Linked DNA regions of Coturnix japonica. The main gene of each other region encodes a partner of the protein of the gene in region 2 in a complex. Links are inferred from orthologs where the notes say so. Each region holds a gene or a part of one and is shown on either strand. Other genes may lie near its edges.

The links. Proteins that work in one complex are often made in the same cells at the same time.
Region 1: SARNP (region 2) and THOC7 share a complex: the UniProt entries of both Homo sapiens proteins name them as parts of the transcription/export (TREX) complex. The link is inferred for Coturnix japonica from reciprocal best matches to the Homo sapiens genes SARNP and THOC7.

Annotation. Positions count from the first base shown.
Region 1 is NC_029527.1:10,990,615-10,994,704, reverse strand, and holds the start of THOC7 (THO complex subunit 7 homolog), read left to right. Parts: upstream 1-1,265; 5' UTR 1,266-1,356; coding exon 1,357-1,375; intron 1,376-1,676; coding exon 1,677-1,794; intron 1,795-2,700; coding exon 2,701-2,828; intron 2,829-3,146; coding exon 3,147-3,233; intron 3,234-4,090. UniProt on the Homo sapiens protein: Component of the THO subcomplex of the TREX complex which is thought to couple mRNA transcription, processing and nuclear export, and which specifically associates with spliced mRNA and not with unspliced pre-mRNA.
Region 2 is NC_029544.1:1,006,846-1,010,404, forward strand, and holds part of SARNP (SAP domain-containing ribonucleoprotein), read left to right. Parts: intron 1-449; coding exon 450-501; intron 502-2,583; coding exon 2,584-2,657; intron 2,658-2,943; coding exon 2,944-2,972; intron 2,973-3,356; coding exon 3,357-3,382; intron 3,383-3,559. UniProt on the Homo sapiens protein: Binds both single-stranded and double-stranded DNA with higher affinity for the single-stranded form. Specifically binds to scaffold/matrix attachment region DNA. Also binds single-stranded RNA. Enhances RNA unwinding activity of DDX39A.

The DNA.
Region 1 (4,090 bases), on a different chromosome or scaffold from region 2:
TTATTAAACAAATAACTGACAGTTCGCACCCTCAACACCCAACAGTTCTGATCAACTTCTCATCACAGTAGAAAAGGAAAGAGCTAAGAGAATGGCATGAATAGTATTAAGTGTTGATAAGACCAGGATGCTCCAAGATGCTGAAGATAGGAGATCTAAGTAGGGTAGGAAAGCGCCACTTTTCACATCAAATTATATCACTCACAAATCACGCAGAGATACATAAAAATATCAAGAAAGCAGCATATTTACCCAGTTTTTCTACACTGGAAATACCTTCAATCCAGATGGAGCTTTAATGACCACTCTCTGTAGCCCTTCCCAATAGTGCCTCGCAAAGAACCTACCAGGTGCCACTTCACAAGTCAAAGTGCTGGCTTGCAACAATCTAGTAATATGTAAACCCCTGTTATACATCTCTATCCAGAACAAAAGAACCCGTCGTCACTCAGGGCTCTAAAACCAGGAAGATGGAGATGACACTACATGCTGACACGGTTCTTTCTTCCTTACACCCATTTTCTCTTAATACACAGCAACAAGCAGAATGAGTCTGCATGTACTTAGTGTCCAACCAAGAGGAGAAGGTAATGCCAAGATGTCAGGGCCTGGACATGCATCTCACATATCATTATTGTACCAATGTATCTTAAAGTAACATTATCAACTTTAGCATGGCACAGGTGTCAACATTTTGGTCCAAAAGGCGAAAACCCAACACTTGATCTCATCCAACAGCTTAATACCTCTTTTCTCCCGGCACACCCCAGCACCGGTTCACTTTTCCATATAGGAACAACCCGCTCTGGTTACCACCCACAGCACAGCACCCCAGGAAACACCTCAGGAACAACATTCCACATCCTTCCCTTGCCCCAATGCTCAGCCTCTTGTGTCAAGCCACACACCAGGGACTCATCCCAAGCGTGACCCGAGGCGCTCAGCCCATCTCCCCTCAGCCCACAGCGCCGGCCCCACGCCTCGATGCCAGGCGTCGAAGGGCGAGGGCCATGTGCCGAGGGCATGGCGGGGCGGCCCAGGAGGGGGGCGGCGGGGTCGTGGGCGCGGTGGTTGGGAGGTGGAGCCTGGCTGCGGGCGCGGGGACCTCCGCTTCCCTCCCCCGTCGGCCTCTCACCTGGCGGGGCCGCCCCTCGCCAGGGGGCCGGTTCCGCGCGGGGTGCGGGCCTCCCGGCCGGCCCTCCCCGCCGATGGGCCGCGCGTTCGCCGCCAGCCGGCTCAGGCCCCAGCCGCCGCCGCCGCCTCCCCCTCCATGGCCGCCGCTCTCTCCGGCTGCATTGTGGGAAGCTGACCTCACTCGCTGCTGCCGCCGCCCCGCCGGCTCCGCCGCTCGCCGCCATGGGGGCCGTGACCGACGGTGAGACCTCCTCCCTCCTGCCCTCCCTCTCGCTGTCCCCGCTCCGGGTTTCTCACCCCGGGGAAGCCACGCACCCCTGCGCGGCGGCCTCACCCCGCATGGAGCGCTTCCAGGCCGCTCCGCTGCGCTCAGTGCCGGGGCCTGGGGCTCCATCGGGCCTCTCGGGCCCAGCCTCCCTGCCGATCCCAGGCCCCGCGTATTGAACGCGTTTTATTTCACCCACATTCTGCTGGGTGAGCTCCTGCCGTGCCACACGCTTCCAGCACGGAGCGCTAAACACGAGTTGTTTTTTTTCCCACAGATGAAGTTATCCGCAAACGGCTTCTCATTGATGGAGACGGAGCTGGGGACGACAGGCGGATCAATCTGCTGGTGAAGAGTTTCATCAAGTGGTGTAACTCTGGATCTCAGGAGGAAGGGTATTTGTTGGCTGTTTTTAAGTCTTGAAACCTCATTGCTTTGCAGTTGAGCATAAAACTGAGCATCTGTTTAGACAAAGAAAGTAAACTGTGTTAAAATGCATCCATTTGGGCTGGATGTGGCTCTGGGCTCCGGTGGTTGGCAACCTTGCACACAGGAGGGGGTTGAAACTAGATGATCATTACAGTCCTATTCATAGCCATTCTATGATCTCTGCTATGTTCAGCCCTGTGTGGTTCTCTGGACAAAGCCCAGGAGCTGTGGCAAGAAACATGCACTGGAGATGGGTCAAAAATTACAGAGCAAACCATCCTGAAATCTAACAGCGAAGGCTCTGGAGGTTGGCACGTTGCTTCACGATTCAGCAGTCCCATTATTACAGCAGGATCACGACTTGAGTGTTCCATTTGGTGGCTCTGCATTTGTTCTGTTAGGTGGGGGCTGTGCTGCTTCTGCTGTACTGCCCTGAAAAGAAAGAAGAAAACAAACAGGCCAAAGAACTAAAGGTTAAGCAACATGTTGTTCTGCAGTAGGGTCTGTGCCGATGCTGGAGTGCAGGAGGGCACTCTGTGATGATGCTGTGCACAGAGAAGCACTGGAGTGTTAAAATATTAATCGTGGTGGGCACAGAGCTGGCTCTAGTTGGGAAGAGTATCATCCCTGGAGCAATCTGCCCATGCTGTAATGCTGCTTTATACCTTTATGATGATAAAATTAATCGGTGCAGCATTCATTTTTAACTGTACTTTTTGCAGTTGTGCACTGAATCTTTGAAGTCCTTTATTGCTTTAGTAATTGCTGTTTTAACTGTTCCGTACATTACCTGAGGCTTCATTTTCCTCGTGATATAAAAACAGGCAGGTATTTTCATGCTGCTGAGGAATAAATGTCTTGTTTGCTTTCAGTTACAGTCAGTACCAACGAATGCTGAGTACTTTATCGCAGTGTGAATTTTCAATGGGAAAAACTCTTCTGGTGTATGACATGAACCTGAGAGAGATGGAAAATTATGAAAAGATCTACAAGGATATAGGTAAAAAATGAGAAAAAAAATATTCTATGCTTATTTGAATTTCTCTTTCATAAAGAAACTCAAGTCAGTTCTGATAAACAAAATGTAAACATGAGATGGGTGACAGAAAAACTATTTTAATACCACTCATACTTGCCCTCGTGTTTTGTCAGTGTGTAAAATGTGTATAAGTAAAATATGTTTTTAGTCTGTCAAGGCATAGATGGTTTTGAAGCCCGTGGAGATAGCAGGCAGTATAAAATACAAAGTGCTGTTTGTGATGATTTAGCTGAATGGATTGATGGCGTTTGTTGTTTGATTTGTGTCTTTCTGTTAAAGAAAATAGTATAGCTGCAGCACACGAGAAGATTTCTGAATGCAAGAAACAAATCCTGCAAGCAAAAAGAATTAGAAAGAATCGCCAGGGTAAGCAGCATTATCTACACTGGGTGGTTTTATTAATGTGTTATCTTTTAAAATACATTGTACTGGAAAACAGATGACATATTTCTTGAAAACTCAGAAGAAAATGCTCTCCATCGATGCTACATAGAGCATTATCTGGTAGGTTCCACACAGACTGCTGAAAGTTTGGTTGTTGAGGTTAAGGCAGTAAATCTTAGTGATGTAACATGAGGAGAACTTAGAGAGTAGCTCAGAGGTGTTCTCAAGCCAAAGAAACCCTCCCAAGCATCCTTTGACAATTCAGTTGGCTTAAGAACTAAAGCACATTAGTAGCAGCAAGACAAAAGAGTTAAATAAGCTTACAACCAACACTGAAAGTTATATAAGTATATTCCTTCAGCTCTTTAGAAGGAAAAGTAGTACCTAATACAAGAACAGTTGTACCAGTTGCATACTCATTTTACATGGCCTTGCAAAATACCTCTAAACCAGGTATTACAGACATCTGTTCCTTATCCTTAAAAGACATACTGATATTTTTAGTTGAAATTTAAAACATTGCCCTGTAAGTCTTATCAAAATTTAGCAATTGGGAAGGTAAAATTTTGCTTCCTAAAAAGTGAAATGTAAAAATAGTTGAAAAGAAAGAAAGAAAGACCAGCTGTAACAGGTGAAAGGTTTTAAAACCTTTAAAAACACATGCACATATGATTTGTGGATAATGTTAGACTCTATTATTAGAGACTGAAAAAAGCCTTAAGCAGTAGGAAAGTAGAGTACTTAAATCTTCACAAGCACGGATCTGAAGTGTTTGCTTTTGAAGATGTTCTGCCCACGTTTTCCATCTGAATGTGGTGGTTAGTGTACATAGAATAGTA
Region 2 (3,559 bases):
AATACCCACCCCACGTGCTCCTGCAGCACCCCATTGAAAATGCAGGATGTTTCTCATGCCTTAAATAGAGTTCATCCTTTCTCCCAGCCTATGTGAGTGGGTGTGAGTGCTGAGGGTGGTTCTTGTGTGTGCTTTGGGGGCTTCCAACTTGTTTCCCATCATTGCTTAAGGAACTCAGGGCTGCTGAAGGCACTCACTGAGCTAGGAGGAGAACTGGTGGCTGTGTCTTCACCAGCTCATTTGTTTCCTTACACAGCTCAGACCTCAGACTCCAGCATCACTGTCAGGGCTCTCAGCCTGCTCTTGTAACAGGGATGCTGACTGTTCCTCTTGAGAACAGAGCTTGACTTGAGGTGATGCTGGGTTTAGGAGGAGAGCCCTGATCTCTCTCTCATTGAGATGTGCTAATGGGAATTCTGACTGATGTTTCTCTTTCCCAACACTTGTAGGAGCACTGAAAAGAAAGTAGTGAAAATAACATCAGAAATCTCACAGATGGAGGTAAGGTTCCTTCTGCTGCTTCACCCTCATCCCCAAGGTATCACTTGGCTTGTTTGCTTCATTCAGAGTCTCTTTTTTTTTTTTACATTGCTGAGGCTTTGTCAGTGTTTGCACACATTGCAAACCATTATTTTGGCTTGGTTAATTAATTGGTTATTAATGACCAGGCTGCGGCTGCGGGCTGACCTAGCAGCAGCATGCTGACCCCACAGCACGTTCCGTTTTGCTGTGATCTTATGGAATGCTTCTCTCTGCAGTCTGGAGGTGCATCCTTCCTTGCTGCCATTTCTGACCCTACGTCGATATTTCCAACTTAGAGACAAGCTGAGCTGCTCCTGGTGCATCCTTCCATTGCAAAGATGGCTTAGTCTGATAGATATACACTGTCCCATTATAACTCCACTGTCTAAATTGTGCTGCCCTTCCTGCTGCAACATTCCCTGCAGTGATCCCCATCTGTGTCCCTCAGGGCTTGCTGTAAGCCTGCTTGCTTCAAACACCAAACTACAAAGCTTTGCTGAGGATATCCTTCAGGGAGCAATGAGTTTGGGAGACACTAACAGATCATCTCATCTTTATCTTCTGTAGCTTTGTCACTTGTATTTGCTGGGCTTATTTAAAACAAACACGCTTAGAAGCCTCTGATTCCTCTGGGAAAGCTTTGTGAAACTCAAAGTTTCAGGGATCTCACTCTGGTTCTCTAATCACCCCCCCCCCCCATTTTAGTTTTCCACTCGTGCTCCGTAAGAAAGCAGTCAGTATGAAAACATGATTCTTGTCTTCCTGCTGTTCGCTGCTGCTTTCGAGCTCTAATCTCCTGTTTGGGACAGGAGCATTTCCACAGCAACCACAGGGGGATGTCGCAAGCAGAGGATTATGACCTCAGCTGAAGGAGTAATGAAGAGCAACGTGGTACCTGGTGGAGGATTGATGTCCCCCTGTGATTCAGGGCTGCCCTTGGCCATAGCAGCTTAAAGAGCTCATTAACAGACCTGCTGACGTTACACACTCATCCTTTGTTGGGTTTTATTCCCCCCCCCTTCAAATTCCATAGAGCCAAATGAAAGGAAAACCACTGTTTTGGTATTTTATGGGGCTGTGTATGAACTGAATGGCTTCCAGCATCATTCAGATCTGTTAGAAGAGAGCATCGAGTTATTTATTCCATACGGTGCATCGTTGATTGTTGGAGGTGGGCTGCTCAAGTTGTAGGAAATATTGACCACTTCATAAAGCAAGGAGGCAGGTGACTGGCAGAGAAGCCCAACGAATCTTTGCCAATTGCCAAGCCTACTCTTGTTGAGACTATTATATGCTATACATGTTTAATACTTCTGAACATCAGGACCCATAGGACTGACAGGAGGAGGGCTACCTTCAGTCATTGCGCCTGGTTATATGGCTAAATAAATATTAGCTGGCTTTGCTTTACCTGTTTTCAGCAATAGCAGAATATTGAAAGGCTTCATTCACTGATGGAAGGTCAGAGGGGTCATTTCTTTGTGGGATGATCTGAGCTGTGCTGCCACTGCCTTCTATTGGGCTGTTGATCCAGCATGGCTTTTGTGTGGCCGCCCACTCTATTGGATATTTCTTTTGGATACCCTTCAAAGAGCGAGGATAAGGAAGTGTGCTTTGACCTGAGCGGTGCCACGTCTTTCTGTCTTCCAAGTGACTTCTCAGCTTCGGCGCTGACACCATTAGGAGTGACATTCCTAACCCATCTTCTCCAAACATTTATGTTTTGATGCAGATGTTTATTGCGCTCCTCGCTGAGCTTTTGGCCAAAGGAAATGTTTCCCTGAATATCGTATCTTGTTTCTCTAATCTCTAAAACACCAAACGCATTTCTGGGCCCTTGTGTAATAACAGAATGTGAGATATTTCCTTTCAGCTTTTAAAGGGGATTCGAATGGTTTTTTGGTGCACTTCTGATGTCCCCAAGCCTCTCTGTGTCTCGGGCACACGCACATGGAAGCGTTCGCCCATCCCTTATTAAGTCCATGTGCCTCTTTCCATTTCCTCTCTATAGACTTCCAGTCCTCACTCTCCTTCTCTGGATTCTTTTTCTCCCACCTCCAGAGAATGCAGAAGAGAGCTGAGCGCTTCAACGTGCCCGTGAGCCTGGAGAGCAAGAAGGCAGCGCGTGCAGCTCGGTGAGTCCCCCATCCTCACCTGGCACAGGCAGCAGCTGCATTGCTGCAATGAGGCTGTTTTCCCTTTGAAACAAGTGAGGAATTGCTGTTGGCACATATAGGAATTACTGTGGTAGCTCCATTAGCCAGTAATACCCACATCCCAGCTCCTCTCAAGCAGTCGGACTGAGGTACACTTAAGCATTTGGAGGAAGAGTCTGTGCTGTGCTTACTGAAGGCTTGATGTATTAGATACCCACCTCATGTTTGCTTGGGTCTCTCACTGAGCTCTGTTTGCTTTCTGCAGGTTTGGTTTGGCCACAGTTTCGACAAAAGGTGAGAAGGTGAAGCTGAACCAATTCATGGAGTGACCTTACTGCAAATATTTATTTATTCCTGGGAAAGAAAAAGTTGCTGGTGAGGCTGTCTTTGTTTTACCATCTGTCCACGCCCAGGGTTTCTGAGCAGGAGTTGTAGAGCTGGGATGAAAAGCATGTGAAAAGTCTTATGGGTGGGAAAAGCTGACTTGGGGATGACATTTGGAGGCTCATCCTTGAGTGAATGGTGTGGAAAGAGGGAGAAATGGGACAGCAGGTCTTCACTGGTCAGACTGGTGTGCGCTTCCAGCAGTGCTGTGACTTCATTGCTCCTCTTCTCAGATCAATTGCTGCTCCAGATATTTGCTCTCTAACTGAGTTTTCTGTTTTCTTCTCATCTCAGGCCTCTCTGCAGACAGCAAACCTACGGTAAGAGATGCTTCTTGTTCCTAAATTGGTTGTTCTGAGCAGTCTGGGTTCTGCTTTCAGGCCCAGCTTCCCAGCAGCACCAGCTGAGTTTTGGGGGAGCACAGCACTGGGGTTGTATTCTGGGGGCTGCAGCACAACCTTCTCCCCACAATGTGAGCGACAGTGATTTACAAACCA